Linked DNA regions of Schizosaccharomyces pombe. The gene in region 3 interacts genetically with the main gene of each other region. Each region holds a gene or a part of one and is shown on either strand. Other genes may lie near its edges.

What was found.
Region 1: mutations in ccp1 (region 3) and mub1 together harm fitness more than expected from each alone (negative genetic interaction), as found in Schizosaccharomyces pombe (2 studies listed by BioGRID).
Region 2: mutations in ccp1 (region 3) and pht1 together harm fitness more than expected from each alone (negative genetic interaction), as found in Schizosaccharomyces pombe (3 studies listed by BioGRID, with this or other methods).

The regions. Positions count from the first base shown.
Region 1 is NC_003423.3:3,766,106-3,771,696, forward strand, and holds mub1 (armadillo-type fold protein, zf-MYND type zinc finger protein, Mub1-Rad6-Ubr2 ubiquitin ligase complex Mub1), read right to left. Parts: upstream 3,880-5,591; 5' UTR 2,873-3,879; coding exon 1,148-2,872; 3' UTR 501-1,147; downstream 1-500. Other genes in the region: mediator complex subunit Med10, read right to left, coding at 1-176; protein Cwf4, read right to left, coding at 4,928-5,591.
Region 2 is NC_003423.3:1,501,703-1,505,425, forward strand, and holds pht1 (histone H2A.Z-like protein Pht1), read right to left. Parts: upstream 1,743-3,723; 5' UTR 1,360-1,742; coding exon 940-1,359; 3' UTR 501-939; downstream 1-500. Other genes in the region: cytochrome c oxidase assembly protein Shy1, read left to right, coding at 3,716-3,723. UniProt on the Schizosaccharomyces pombe protein: Variant histone H2A which can replace H2A in some nucleosomes. Nucleosomes wrap and compact DNA into chromatin, limiting DNA accessibility to the cellular machineries which require DNA as a template.
Region 3 is NC_003423.3:2,391,888-2,398,377, forward strand, and holds ccp1 (CENP-A histone disassembly chaperone Ccp1), read right to left. Parts: upstream 3,695-6,490; 5' UTR 3,675-3,694; coding exon 3,602-3,674; exon of another isoform or gene 3,512-3,601; coding exon 3,401-3,511; exon of another isoform or gene 3,332-3,400; coding exon 2,816-3,331; exon of another isoform or gene 2,723-2,815; coding exon 2,688-2,722; 3' UTR 2,556-2,687; coding exon of another isoform or gene 1,907-2,555; 3' UTR 1,816-1,906; coding exon of another isoform or gene 1,787-1,815; 3' UTR 1,682-1,786; exon of another isoform or gene 1,671-1,681; intron 1,620-1,670; 3' UTR 1,585-1,619; downstream 1-1,584. Other genes in the region: pib1 (ubiquitin-protein ligase E/phosphatidylinositol(3)-phosphate binding protein), read right to left, coding at 1-210; protein mug20, read right to left, coding at 664-717, 772-1,039, 1,083-1,216; tlg1 (SNARE protein Tgl1), read left to right, coding at 1,787-1,815, 1,907-2,555; eIF2 alpha kinase Gcn2, read left to right, coding at 4,788-4,904, 4,954-6,490.

The DNA.
Region 1 (5,591 bases), 1.4 Mb from region 3:
GGAAGAGATTTGAGATCTCTGATAAGAGTATCAAGGCTTTCAGGAATGGCATCAGATGGAGTAGTATCTTCAAGGTTATAAACGATCAATGCCAAGTCATAAAAAGCCTGAGTGGTGTCTTCTAAACGGCTTGCCAATGATTTCATTTCATCAGTCATGTCATCTTGGGGCAGCATTTCGAAAACCAAAGATAAAAATAGGTTTAAAGATCAATTTAATGCAGCACAAGTGCACTGAATACAGCAGCCTTCAATTTATTGCTGTCTCAACTGTATAATGGTTATGCTTAAACTACGGTACTTCTTCCAGTTCACTATTTGCAAGTGAGTTGGTTTAATTTTATAGTAATAAGCAAATTACAAAGTCTGTTCTACTAATAGAGAAATACTGAATTCATTATAATATTGATTCCTCCTAAATGTTCTATAAATATTAGCGTCAACAGACAAGATAACTTGAAATAATACTTTCGTTTAGTCAATTTAGCGAAAGCATCATTAGTACGATCTATTTCTTGACTTCCAGGTATACAAGTACAAAAAGCTTTAGCCTTCATGCAATATCACATCGTATTGCTTTAGCCCTGTTCATAGGTTTAACTATTCCGAAAAAGCTATGTATAATTTTTGACTAATTTATTAATAAGTAACCAAGTCAAACAAAAACAAGTTGAAAAGAAAAAAGTTTATTATTTTAAGTAAAAGCATTTAAGTTACGAGAAAAAACGATAAGCAACAGAAGGACAGTCGGAAAAGAAACTCGAAGTTTTAATAAATTAGGACAGTGGCCTCCACACCTTCGTACCTCCCTGTAGGTTTCAAAAGCTTTCATGATTATTGCCCTGCTAAAACCACACGATATCCATAATAAGAAGAACAAATCTGAATGTATCGGCAATTAATTGCATAAAAAAAGGTTAAACGATTAACTTAATTGCGAGTAAAGAGTTAGCTGAAATTCATATTCTTCACGGCACATGAAATAATAATTGATGGCAAAGGGAATTAAGGAATGAATTCAAAACGTAGTATTGAATGCCGGAAAAATGATTAAAAGAATATGTGTGACCTCCAACTGTAAGTCTATTTGAAGCGTAAGCATACCTAGTAAGAAATGGATAGAAATTGTCATTAAACTGTCATTAGTACTACAATCTGCTATCACTCTGAGTGCTTGAAGTTACAGATTCTGTTCCAACAGGAATAACAGATGCAGCCGGGGATGCTGTTGATTCGCTTTCAGTGACTGAGTTTATTTTTGAGCTCTCTCGTTTGGAATTCCTGCCATCTTTATGAATTACGCGACACCATCGACTATGTCCCGGCCATGCTTGATGCTGGCATTCTTTACTGCAATATTTTGTACGTCGGCATCTTCTGCATTTAGCAAATTGACGACTGTGCTCTTCCCATTTGTTACATAACAAATTGGCGCATCGACGTATACCACCATGACTTTCATCTTTCCGACAGTAATTATTCATGATAGCTCTGGCCCAGTATTGAACTTGTGGGGGGTAGAATTTCAAGGTGAACTGCTCGACTAACTGAAAAATATTCCACGTTTTACTGCCGCTACGTAAGGGCGACATACGTAAACTTGGAACATCTTTAGAAGACTCGAAGTAAGGACGCATATGGAAATAGTTTTTACTAGTATAAGCAAGAATTTGCAAACCAAAAAGTATATCTTCTTCACGAGGGAGTTTATTAATCTTCTTATCAAAGTTGTCAAAGAATGAGGCAATCCCGTGATAATCAACTACATTTTCGGGCCTGCGGCCATCTAATAACGCAGATGTAGAAGGAACACCAGGTAAAAGTTGATTACGACGCTGACGATTATTCAAGGCCTGTGATTGAACATTATTTAAAGACAATTGCACATCCCGTGATGAATCCTGAGTAGTAGTCATAATATTAAGCGGAGTTGGAAAGAAAAAATTTGGAGAGTCTATCTCGTCATTAATTGTCTCACTAGCAGGGCCTGTTTGACGAGAGTATGAAGGAGAAGAAGGGGTAGTCATGTTATAATTAACATTTTCAGTAGAAGTAGGAGTAGAGGGTGCAGCTGATGAAATTCTTTGAATGGTTAATGGAGAGTTTGCTTGAACACGAGGATCTTGAAATGAATCATTTGAATAAATGGAGCCGGAGGATCGATCATGACTAGTGGTAGAGCTTGATCCCAATAAATCACGATTCACGGAATGTCGAAACGTAGATTGATTTGGAAGTTGGACATCTCCACTATCCCGTAAATCCACCGAATAAACTCTTCTAGAGCTAGAGCTTGCCGTACTAGCTCCAAATGGAGATGGTACATCACCGTTGACGAACAAAGAGTCAGCAGATGAATTGTGTTGAGACACAGAATCAAGAGAATTGCTAATATTAGAATTAATGGGGAATGGAGCAGATGCGGATGATGGAGGAGGGGTAGTAGAAGGTGTAAGGGAAAATTGAAATCGAGAATGGTGAGAAACAACGGACTCAAGCGCAAACAAAAAATCATCTAAAAGGGTGACAACAATAGGAACGATACCAGCTTCCACAACACGAATTCGAATAGCTTCAGACCCACGTATCCCAACATTTACGACACACTGAAGAGCTAGCTGCCATATTGTCATTCGGGCAAATGTTTGTCCACGTCCGGCACGTAAAATATTCATTAAACGCATCAAACCACCATCCATAGTAAGGATCTCACGAATTTTCGGTGAAGTCGAAGTCAAATAAACGAGATGGCTTAATGAATTCATTAATGACATTTCGGAGTCACAGTCAAGCGCACGTCGATCATAAAGGACTGTATTGATAGTGACAGAAGCTTTGTTATTCCATACGATGCTAACGTTCGATTCCCTCATCTTTCTTTAATAATATATTTAACACGTATAAAGTTTTTTAAAGACAATTGCTGCAGTATAAATTACTGGCAAACGCAAAGATTGGCGTAAAACGAACGATGTGATAATATTTTTTTTAGTTAAAGACAAGCAGTTTTCGAATACCAAAATTTTACTCAATAATTTTCAAAACTGCTGTGTGTAAACGCAATAACCGAAGAGAAAAACCAAGAACAAACGCCGATAGCAGGAAGAATAAGTAGTGCCCCAAAATCACGAAAACGAAAAAAAATAAAAATTACTGTTTTCGCAGATTTTAAGTCCCGCCGAATTTGAAATCCTTTTAAGCAATCTACACCAATTATTCTTCAAAACGAGTAAACGTAAAAGGGACTACGGTTAGCTCAAGCTTGAAGTCAAGAACTGATAAAGGAGCAAAAAAAATACTAAAAGAAAAAGGAAGTAAGGAGCAAGGGCACTTTTTTAGCCGAGAAGCGACACAGATCAAGTAAGTTCAACAATAGGAAGTATAACAACGAAAAAGTTGTAACCCGGGGTCTGCTAAAATCACGAGGCTAAAGAAAGAGAGAAGTGGCAAACAAAAAAAACCCGAGATTAACGAAGATACAAAGAGAGAATGAATAAGAATAGTTTGATGAAAACCACAATAACCTTGAAAATAAAAATAAAGGATATGCTCAGTACCTTTTTAGACAAGATTAGTGGAAAATCAAATCACAGCTGACAAGAGTAAGAGAAGAGAGAATAGCACAAGATGATTTGCATCAATTAAAAAAGTAAAGTTCGAAGAAAAATGTTAGGATTTGGAAAAGGAAAACGGTGGTGAAGCTAAATCAGCCTTGTTGATAAACAAAGAATAAGTGTTTTCTTATAATCGCAAGGATTTAGCTTAAAAACCACAGTAAATAGTTTTTGCAAGTCCCTTAATTTTAATTGAATGAATTCTTTTTACGAAAATTTCCCGGATCCTCGTTCTCTTATTCAGATTCTTGGAAGTGGCAGTTGACAGAAGGCAACTTCATTTCACCCGAGTGTCAACCGAGTTTGAAAACGATCGTCAGTGAACGTACCTTTAAGGCACCATAACGCAAAGTATGCTGGGTTGTTACTGGCTATAATGGTTGGGAACTCTCGGCGATCTTTGATGCTGGATGTTACCTTTGAAGAGATCGACATCTCGGCAACAATAACTCAAAAAACTTGCTGCAACTTTAACTAGCAACAGTTGGTATTTCTTTCACTATAGTCAGTCATTTTTTATTCATACGAACATCTTTGTGTCTTTAAGTTTTTAGCAGAATCTGTGTATGAATTTTTTCTTTTAAGTCAAAATGTTGCCTAATACGTTGGTCGCATAAGCCGATTTTTGTATTCTGTAAATTCACTTTAGCAGAACATTTGGGTAAACCGGTCCGAATAAGCTGTCAGTGCTGAAAATAACCAATGTCAGATTTTGTAATCTCATTTGATTGACAAGTTCATCAGATCAGCACAACTCCAAACCAGCCGCTTCTTTACCTGTGAGTCCTGCCACTTTGAGTAACAAAACTAAAATTAGTCGCACTGGTAGATACTCGATCGTATGTCAATGGGGCAAGGTAAAGAACAATCAATTTATAAATATAAATATGTACATATTAAATATATTTTGGATTGGATTTTTCATTTTATTGTATTTTAATGTGTTATTTACGAATTGCGTTGGATTCTTCAAAATTGTCATGTTTACAACTTTCTCATTTCTACAAGTGTGATTCCCTCAACATAATATCCATAAATTTTTCGCTTATCTTGCTTAGTAAGTAAACTCAGATCGAAACTCAAGGTTAATAATACTAATATGGATTGCTTGTCTTATTTCTACGCGCCATTCCGGCCTTTCAAATGCAAAAACAGTTATTTTATTATTATCCGAACAGTCCAAAGCGCTGAATATCCTCAACTTCGTAACAACGTCCATTTACATGACCCATTGCCTCGTAAACAATTAATTACTAATATTTTACACGATTACTAAATATTAAACTGATAGCGCCAATAAATGTCATATGTAATCTAGGCCTCCAGCTTCTTTTTAGCCATTTCCTCTTTCCATTTTCGCGAAAGTTCGAGCATTTTGCGCATCTTATCTCCTTGATCAGTCGCCGTATCCGGAAACAGATAGTCCAAATATTCTTCGAATGAACCGTCTTCAAGTCTACGGCGTTTCTTAACAACCTGTGGCATTAGTGAAGAGACATGCTTACGTGTATCTTCCGTGCCATGCATTGCCTCAAATTGTTTCCATGCTTCAAGTAATACAACTCGCTCTTCCTTCAAACCCTGCTGGCGTAAATGGGCCAATGCATTTTCAAAAACATTTCGCGCACGCACAACAGCGGTTGGAGAAGCCACTTCTTCATTCGGTGGTTCTTCGTCATCGTCCTCCAGATGGGCAATTTCAAAGTTTGCAAAACTAATCCAAACTTTAACATGAGGTGCAGTCCGTAGTAACTGCTGGTAAATACTTCTAGCTTTTCCGTATTCCATTTCCTCGAATTCAAAATCAATATAAGCCTTCCACACAAGCTCTGGGGTTTCCAAAATAGGCTGGTTTACAGCCAAATTATATAAAGCGCGAGCACGATCACTATCTCCAAGCTTAGTCTCTAAGGCAGCGTAACCAAGCCAGGGAGCACAAGCCTCGGGATCATAAAGAATCCATTTTTCATAAAGAATT
Region 2 (3,723 bases), 890 kb from region 3:
GGCAATTTACAGGGCATATAAAAAACACTGACATATTGAGCTTGCCATTAAATGTGAATTTAGTAACGTTTTTAGTTCTGTTCCCTTTACTGTGTCTTTATTGTAAATATCACTTTAAATGCTTTCTTTGACTGTCAAGGGAATTATCGCCGTTCTTTTTACAAAAGCAGGCTCTGAGTGTTTAAATCTATTTTTCTTTCATTCCTGATAAAACTGAAGCCTTTTAATCTCCCTTTTTCTTACTTACTCTTATCCTTTGTTTTCCAGTTTTTTAATCCTCATTTATACTATATTCTATTTACATATTTTTTATACTTAAGTATTAAAAAAGGTGTATATTCTTTAGACTTTAGTTTTTAGTGTTCGTGTTTGCTCTGAACATATAAACTGCACTTACTTAGATGTATTTAGTATCAAAGAGGTGAATTAATTTTACGAGCAAACGGTAAAAGAACGTAAATGTGCTTATTGTTCAACAGACATACGTGTTTATTAAATTTTACAAGATGAAAGTGATATGAATATTTGTATTTCACACTATATTGAACGCTAAGCGAGCATCATTTACAGCTTAAGTCTATACCTAGAGCGTTTGGAAAAATTCAAAATTAATAAATCGTATAAACAAGAAGTAAAACTAAACAGCGCAGGAGAAACCACTAGATGCATGGATACATACTAACGATTGAACCTGGCAAAGTGTAATTGGACAGAATGAAACGAGACATATTGGAAATATAACGTCTAAAGATGAAACGCAGGACAAATTTGTTTGGAGGCTTGAGAGGAATGAAAAGGGAGCAAATACATGGAGGGAAGAGCATTTCCATTAAACTGCGCATGCACATTTTACTTTCCATGCTTTAATCATAGAAAAAGGTAACCAATTAAATAAAATAAATCCTTAGATTGTAAAAAGAAACGAAAACACAAAAATGATTAAATAATTTCTTCCTCCTCGGGATATTTTTCCTTTGTACGAATCAAGAGCTGTTTATTGATATGAGGCAATACACCACCGCCCGCAATTGTAGCACGAATTAAAGTGTCCAACTCCTCATCACCTCGAATAGCAAGTTGAAGATGTCTAGGTGTGATACGTTTGACCTTCAAATCTTTTGCCGCGTTTCCCGCAAGTTCCAAGACTTCAGCGGTCAAATATTCAAGGACTGCAGCACTATATACAGCACTTTTTGCACCGACGCGCATATTATTTTGAGTTTTTGCCTTTAAAAAGCGTCGAACACGTCCAACAGGAAATTGTAAACCAGCGCGAGCTGAATGCGACATTTGACCGCGTTCGCCGATTTTAGAACCTCCCTTACCTCCAACATGTTTACCTTTACCGCCTCCAGACATCATTTTGAATCGATTATTGCAATTGCAAAAAGCGAATGTTTTGTGTGTTAGGGAGAAGGCAGATTCGTGAACGCGAGGTGCGTGTCTTAATATCATAAAGCCGCGTACAGAGGGGCTGTACCTTTAAACATCAAGTTTTCGAATTTCTAACAACAGAGGATAAATTTATAGAATATTGACAAAGGATGAAACGTTTTTTTAATGTATAAAAAAATCAGCTAAATTCTTGAAACGTCTCATATTTGCATACTCTCATATTGTGGGTTTAATATTCATAGATGTAAGTTTATAAATACCCTTATATAATTTATTTAATCAAAAACTTATTTGATCCTTAGGTTTTCGCCTTTTCTTGAACATCCATAGGTGTATGGAGGCCAAACACCTTTGTACTAGTTTACTCAAACTTTTGGGTGCACTGCGGTATGTCGTACATTGTTAAGCATTATAAGAAATGGTTACAGTATTCGTTAATTGCTCTTACGTAGATACGGTACATGTCGTCAGTTTATTTACATCAAGAAAACCAGAGAATGCCTAACTTATTGACATGTTAACATTTGTAGTCAAATAACTGAAGGGTCGGTGCCTAATAATCTGTATAGCAAATGATTCAAATAGTTTTTTACTTTAGAGCTATATTAGTTTGTTCATGCTTTTTGCCTGATTGCAGGTTGTAGTTCTACTAAACTATATTCAACCATTTATCTTGAACAAAATCCTATGTCAACAAAAGACTTTTAAATAAATAAACTGCACTATTATTTAATTGTTATTGTCGAAAGCGATCAGTAACAGCAGATTAAGAAACTACTTTTTGACCAGCCAACTTGTCGAGTATTAAAACTAGCATTAGTATATATAATTTAATAAATACATTCCGACGATACTGCCTCTATGGCTTAGTGGTACAGCATCGCACTTGTAATGCGAAGATCCTTGGTTCGATTCCGAGTGGAGGCATATACATTATATTATATTCTTTTTCATGCGGAAAAAAGATTTCAAATTTTTGGGTATGATATTAATATGACTGTAACGTTAATAGCAAAGTGAGTGTTAATAATGATAAAATAGCAGCAAAATCTCTTTTCCGAGTAAGACGTTTTCCAGTCTAAATTTGGAGTCTGCAGTTGTTTCGCAATTCTTAATGTATGGTTATACTAAATACAAACTTTAAAGCTCTGATTTATGTTTGCAATAAACTAAAATAAAAGCACAAAAACCTTTACCCATTAATTTCAAACAACTTATAAACTACCGGTAAACTTTTTTTCTAACCTTTATAATTTATAAACTAGAATGTTTAATGTCTACGGCCATACCTAGGCGAAAACACCAGTTCCCGTCCGATCACTGCAGTTAAGCGTCTGAGGGCCTCGTTAGTACTATGGTTGGAGACAACATGGGAATCCGGGGTGCTGTAGGCTATTTTTTTATATCCGTCTTTCTTACTACTTGCCTAACAAGTCATGATGTACTCTCAAAATATGTTTGCATGCCTTGTAATATTGGTTATGGATAGCTCCTTCTGGACTTGATCTTTTGTAGCCAAGAACAATGGGTATAGACTCTGACCTTGTGATGTTGTAGCCACAGATTATAATAGGTATTTTCAAGTACAGTAACAAAAATCTTCTAGTTTTTTTTTAGAAAGGATACACCAAGTATAAGCAAATTCAGGAATTGTTGATTAAACTGTCAACTTCGGTAAAACTTTGGGCATAAGTAGTGTGGGAGCAAGTTTAACTAAAATTCTATTCAGATGTCGAATCCAAACCGCTAATTTTGCTCAACTAGCTTTTCATAAAAACCAATTCATAGTTTCATACTAATAAAGACGATTGTTTACTTTAAAACATACGTCGTAAGAACATATATTGCTTTATCGAAAGATAACAAATGTTAAGCTATTATATTATTTAACTATAGCGCAGATTTCGCTTCCTTTACTTAAAAAAGACATGTGACTTGTAGAAGCTTGGAGTGAATACGCAAAGGTACCTACTTAGACATTCGCGTCTCTCTTAGCTGTCAACATCAACAAACTGGCCCCGTATTGAACAGTATCTTACTTGTCGAAGGATTTGACTAAGAAAATTTTATTTCTTTATAGCAATATTCCGTTTTCGCTTAGAAGATTCTAGTCAATTGCCCTATTCTACTTACGCTTTACAGTAGTATCAGAAGACCTGAGTGGGATTTTGCTGCTAGTAGAGGCCATTCAAGTTAACTCCGTTTTGCAACATTTTAAAAGTTTTTGAATTGAATATAAATATCAATTGTTTGATTCCTTTTAGGATTTAATCTTTTCTTTTTATTTTTGTTTCGATTGAATCTTGGATTCCTGTCTATCATGTTTTG
Region 3 (6,490 bases):
GCTCACAGGAAGCTTTGCAAAACTATTGCAGCAATTGTAACAAAAAAGTTTACCACACCATCTACAATGATGTCTTCTCCGAAACCAGGTAAAAGGACCACCACAATTATTGCACTGCGCACTTTCATCGTCCAGTTGCCAAATTGCCGCCGGCGTTTCAATGAGTAAGCGTCTCAAAGCCTCTGGATAAGTCGTCTCATCCTCGTCCATACTCAATTTGATAAAAATTCATTAAACTATGTTCGAGAGCAAAAAGTTGAGTACCCGCTAGAATGGTGTTGAAAGTTGCCTCAGGAGATAAGGTCAAAACAAAAGGGTAACTTATACTGATCAAAGGAATATGATTACCGGTGGAAGTGGAAAACTCACTGCATATCGCAAAATAAATTTTTTAAACTTCGTTAACGTAAGAGAATAAGATAATAAGTCATTTAGAATATCAATTGTAGTAAATATCAAAAAGCTATCCAAGAAGAATAACTTTATCAGAAATTACGCATTTAAACATCTTTTCTTTATGTATGTTTCATAGAGCTCAGAAGCAAATTTAGCGCCGTTTCATTTAGACCTTAATATAACGATGTCAGCGTGTTTGATGAAAGTTGACTTTCTTCGTTATTATCAAGCTTGGTTTGAGGCAGTATGACATTAGATCTCTGAAATTTAAAAATTGTCGAGAATAGCTTTATGAGTTGAGGTTTCAATCATCTTTAGTTTCTTTAAATTTATTGAGGTTAGTAATATGACAATATAATTTGTTTTTATGTTTACCTCCATTGCACATTTGAGCTTATTTTGGGAATTACGACGATGCTGAACTAAATTCTTCTCAAAATTCTGGGAAAGTGCCTGAAATTCTTCCAATGCATATTCTTGGGAAGAAATAGAAGAGATCTTACTATTGACGGACTCCAATTCTGCGTTTATACTATTATATTCCACCAACAGGTTTGACAGGTTTTTCGAAGCATCCAGCTGTAATTTATCTAAAGCACGAAGCTTCTCCTCTGTCGTTCTTAGGCTTTCTAAAATCACGTCTCTGAATTGTTGGGTCAATTAGCTGAAGAAACTTATGGACGTACTTGACACGTGCATTCAAAAAATATGAATGCAATGCACTATCATGATGCTCACTGAATGCTAATACTGCTTCAGATACCATGTTAGCATGGCGATTGCTCAGCTCTGTTTGCAAAGACGTTATAATTTCAGACATGTTGTGGTTCTTGATAACATGTTAATAGTGTCTACGCGTCTTTTGTTTACATCAAGCTAGCGATATATAGCGTACTGTTTTAGCTCACAAGACTTTCTTTGTGTTCAGTTTCTCTTAAAACATTTAGTCTTAGGTTTTTAGCAATAGAATTAATTTTTTAGCACAAAGGCTAGAATGAAAGATTGCTTTTGGCCATTGAAAACGTTTTATTTACCTAGATGTTTACATTTAATCTAACATACAACGGTGGAATACGGTTGAATCAAAACAAAATAGTGACAAGGGGAGGTTGCTGTTTTTTCAACAAGATTGAGATATTGCTTTCTTATTTATTCTCCATTACTTGTTTTGTAAGGACTCAATGTTTACGGTGATCTTTGAGTGAGCAGTTAGGTAGCGTTATCTATCGTAAAGTCGTTACTTGACTGAATCAGCACAGTACTTTAGTATTTGCAGACAGCATACCTGATAATACGAATTTGCTTCGTTTATTTTATATTATCTTATTTTTCTTTAAATTATAAAAGCATTTCCAAGTAGAAAATTGGCTCATATCTCTACATCATCAACATGGAGGACCCCTTTTATGAAGTCAAAGCGTAAGTTGTGCAATGATGAACCAGAAATGTCTTAATAGATTCCTTTTGTTGCTTTAAGATTTTATTTAACTGACATTTATTCGAAATATAGGGATGCATCAAATCAAATGGAGCAAGTGCGAAAGCTTTACAATTCTTTTATGGCCGCACGAAACTCTGGAGTCCTTTCACCAAATACTGAGCTTACTTACGCCATTGATGAGTTAAGCGAAACATTGAAGGACTTAAAAGCTGCTGTGGAAATAGCGATGAAAAATTCTGAGCATTTTGGGTTAGATGAAGAAGAACTAAAGTCGAGAAGGAGATTTGTCTCGGAACTGGATATTGAGTTAAACAATATACAGTTAAAGATGGGTGCTGCCCCAAGCACACCAGTTTCTACAGAACCTTATACTGTTGACAATGGTGCCTCAGCTGGTTTGTCTGAAGAAGATCATGCTGTCAATCGACAATATCAAGAGCAGCTTTATCAGCAACAAGACGTAATGCTGGACGGGGTTTACGACACGATTGGAAACATTCGTGGGCAGGCAGCTTTGATGGGCGAAGAATTGGGTCAACAGGCTGACTTGTTAGATACTCTTGACAATTCCATTGAGACCACTAATAGTAAGCTTCGCAGGGGTATGAAGCGGTTGAAAGATTTTACGATTGCAAGCGCAGACTCTAAATCTGGATGTTGTATTACCGTACTCATTATCATCTTAATTGCATTGTTGGTATTGGTTATTGTGCTGTAACTAAATCTTTATATTGTATTATTTAATTCTTTGAACCATCTTCCCAATAAACGAATAACCAATCATTCCATAGGTAACCTCGAGCTTTGGGAAGACAAAAAAAATTTCATGTCTGTGTTCTCGTTCCTTAAATTAATTAGACTTCTTGGACTTTTTGGAAGGTGGTTCTGCGATTTTTGTGTTAGTTTTACAATACATTGACATCTATCATATCATCTATTCATGCTTTCGCCTTATTTTTTTAAGACCTGTTTTCGTACCTTGCTTTTCTTCGTCCCCTTCTTCGTCTTCTTCGTCTTCTTCTTCCTCATCTTCCTCCAAATCTACTGACTCATCCTCATCACTCGCTTCTTCGGTCATGGCTTCTGTAAAATATTTTACAGCATTTGGAAAAAGATCCTCTGCCAGAAAAATTGTGAGTGTTGCTCCATCAAAATCATCGTCCTCTTCCTCTCCGGTCCATTGAAAATAGTCAAAAAAATTAGGAGGTAATTTTTTATTTTTTCTAAATAAACTCTTTCCTGGTTTCCAATGTATATCAACAGGTTGCGAAGTATACTTGGTTATCTTTTTTTCCAAACCCTCATCATCCTTTGCTTTTTCCTCTTTAATTCTCACTTCTTTTACCAAGGTAAGGTTGTCGTCCTGAAGATATTCGTTTGGTTGAAAGGTAAGCGAAATTCGGACATCCCTTGGTTCCTTTTCATTAAACCTTTCAACATAAATATTTTCGAGTTTTTCAAGTAACACACTATCTTCAGGTGTTATGTACTGGCCTGAAATAACTTAATTAGAATTTCAACAATGTTTAAACAAAAACAATAATAGTATACAATTTTACATACTGATTTCATCCCCAGCAGCTTCCAGAACTACTACCCAAAAGTTGTTAATGGTCTTCAAAATATCACGACGCTGCTCAAAAAGCGGTTGAAAAAGCTCATTTTGTTTCTTCACTAGCACCAAGATACATTAGCAATTGTTAACACATTTTTTATAAAAAACGTAATTTTATGCTACAAAAATGCAAAATCGATTAAACATACATATTTCGATTTCTGCTTTTCCAAACTCTTGCTCTAGGTTTGCGAGATTTTCAAAAGCTTGAGCTGCCTCCATTTTGTAGGTTAATTTCGTGCAAGGGAGAAAAATCTAATAGTAATTCGAAAATTCTCACTTCGTCAACGATGATGAAGGCACTACCCTTACCACGTTTTTACGTACGATGAACAATGCTAGCAAAGTATATCAGAGGCTTTACTTTCCAATATAATGACTGCCGTAGCTTCTGTAGCTTGCAATAATTTAACCTTGACTTTTTCAACAGTATACAAACCATCCATATTACTAGTAATCGAGCAGGATTCTAGTTTTTAACTCACACCATTTTCATAGGTTGTTTTTATAAGTGTAATAACTTATTAGTCTGAACAAAGAGTAAAATTAGAAAATAAACTGTAGTTTGCGCGGTTTCGAGCTTTCAGGCTAGCGTGCTTGCATTTTCCAAACTTCTCCTGACCATGATGAAGAAAGGAGAGGAGGAAAAAAGGTATAACATTTCGAATGCAACTACAAATTTGTATTATATTGCATTATATGAAACGCTGTTATAGTTTACTGGTGTATCTATTTTATCAGTTATGAAGTATGTCTTTGTAGTTTAATCAAAAATCCATGATTATGGTAAAACAATGAAGAAAAGTTAACCAAACGCGATTAAAAGTTAAAACTTTTTGACCGCTTCACTTCAAACAATGAAGCGCTTTGCATACAAATGCAGATAATCATTATATCCAACTGTTCGTTATCGATTGAAGATCTGAAGTCTGATTCATCTTATCCAACTCAAAATTACATCTTAACTAAAGAATGTATGATCCGTGCCGATTATCGCATTTATTCGGCTCAAATCAATCTATACTCATTACAATACCAGTATACTGCGTTCTTCCATCTTTAGTATACCACGAGCGAGAAACTTCTTCCTCCAGCAAATTCGCGGCAAACAAGCAATTTATCTAAAAATCCAATTCAGAGGAAAGAAAAGAAATAGAATTGATAATAATTATATTTTCAAGTCCTATATTGCCGTCCTGATATAAACTGATTTGCTTTCTTTCCTTCCAGTTTACACAGGACGAATTTTCAACCAACAGTTTAATTGTGAATAAATATATTTGCTTCCTATTAAACTAGTAAATTATTGGCAACAATAGTTGGTAAAAGCTGTTCATGGATGCGGCGAAACGTCTGGAACTATGCAAGGAAATTCAAGAAAATGAAATTGAGGCCCTCAAAGCCATTTTTATGGATGATTTTGAGGAGTTGAAAGTTAGGAATGCTTGGAATGTATGATTAATGTTTGTTCACTACCCATTTACTAACAATGGTATCTTAGGTTACAAACGGCCATGTTTATTGTATACATCTATGTTCAAGAAGTGCAAACTCTAAAAGTATTGCGAAACTTGATCTTTGTATTGAGCTTGGAAGAAGCTATCCTTATGTGAAACCAGTGATCAAGTTACAAAATGGAGAAAATGTCCTAAACTCTCAGATTCGATTTTTGCTTGATAAGTTAGATACAAAGGCAAAAGACTTGCTAGGAGAGGAAATGATTTTTGAACTTGCCAGTATAGTGCAGGACTATCTTAATGATTGGCAGTCTGACCTCTCTTCTCAATTTGCTAGCTTGGAAGAGGAACGTGCGGTACAACTAAAGCATGATCGAGAGAGAGCGGAAGTGGATTTACAACTTAGGTTAAAACGGGAGAAAGATGCCTTATTTGAGGAAGAACAAACGCTTCAGAACAAAATTCAAGATGAATTACAACGCCGCTCATACGAAACACCGCAATCTTCTTCTAAGAAAAAGACGAATAGTAAGGAAACAACTTCTCTCGAAACCCTCCCAACTTCTATTTATTTTGATTGTTCTATATCCGTTAGAGACTGTCACGATTCTTTGGTTACATTTAATAGAGTGCTTCCTTTGTATACAATCTCGCATTCCAACCTTTCTACTTTGACTTTGGTCAAGCCTGAATCTAAAGAGATATCTTTACAGGATTGTGTTTTTCTACTTAGAACCGTCCGAATTAGTACGCCTTACTGGAGTACAGAAGACGGAAAACGTGAAATACAGGAATTAGAATATGAACTTGAAAGTCTGAAAGTTATTCGGCATGATTTACTAGCTTCAATTTATGAGTATCAACTGGAAAGAGAGACACGAGGTTATGGTTGGAGGTTGTACGTTTTGCAAGAATATTCTCCGAAGTTCACTCTGTTTAGTCTTTTACAAACCGTCCTTACTTTAGACGTTGAAACCGTTAGAGCTTTTTCAAACAATATTTTAGAAGGTTTAGCTGAGCTGCATCGTCTTGGAATTTCACACAAAAGTTTGCACTTGGACAATGTGGTGCTTTTTCATTCAGGCCATAGAACTTTTGCAAAGCTAATGGATTTTGGGTTTACACGCACTTTACGAGACATGAACGCATCTCATCCTTTTAACATTAATTCTCAATCCATTACCAATATTCTACCGGAAGGGCTGTATCCCCCAGAGGTTTCTGAGTCATCATTTGCAGCTGCATCGAGAAAAACTGACATCTGGTGTTTTGGACTATTAGTATTGCAGATGCTTTGTGGAGCTCACGTTTTGAATAAATTCTCTTCACTAAAACTGATTATGACTCATGTAATTCCTCTTCTTCCGGGGTCTTATCAAGATTTGGTTCGTCGCTGTTTAATGCGCGATTCAAGGAAACGCCCTAGCGCCATTGACTTGTTAAGTAGTCATGTCATTCGTTTGGGTACAGCAGTTCTTCCTCCAGTTGAGCAGGGTACCTTTTCAAAATCTGCACGCCCTTCTTATGGTGGTCAACAGGATGGAATTATTGATTTGTTGTACAGGAAAAGCGTTTCACGTT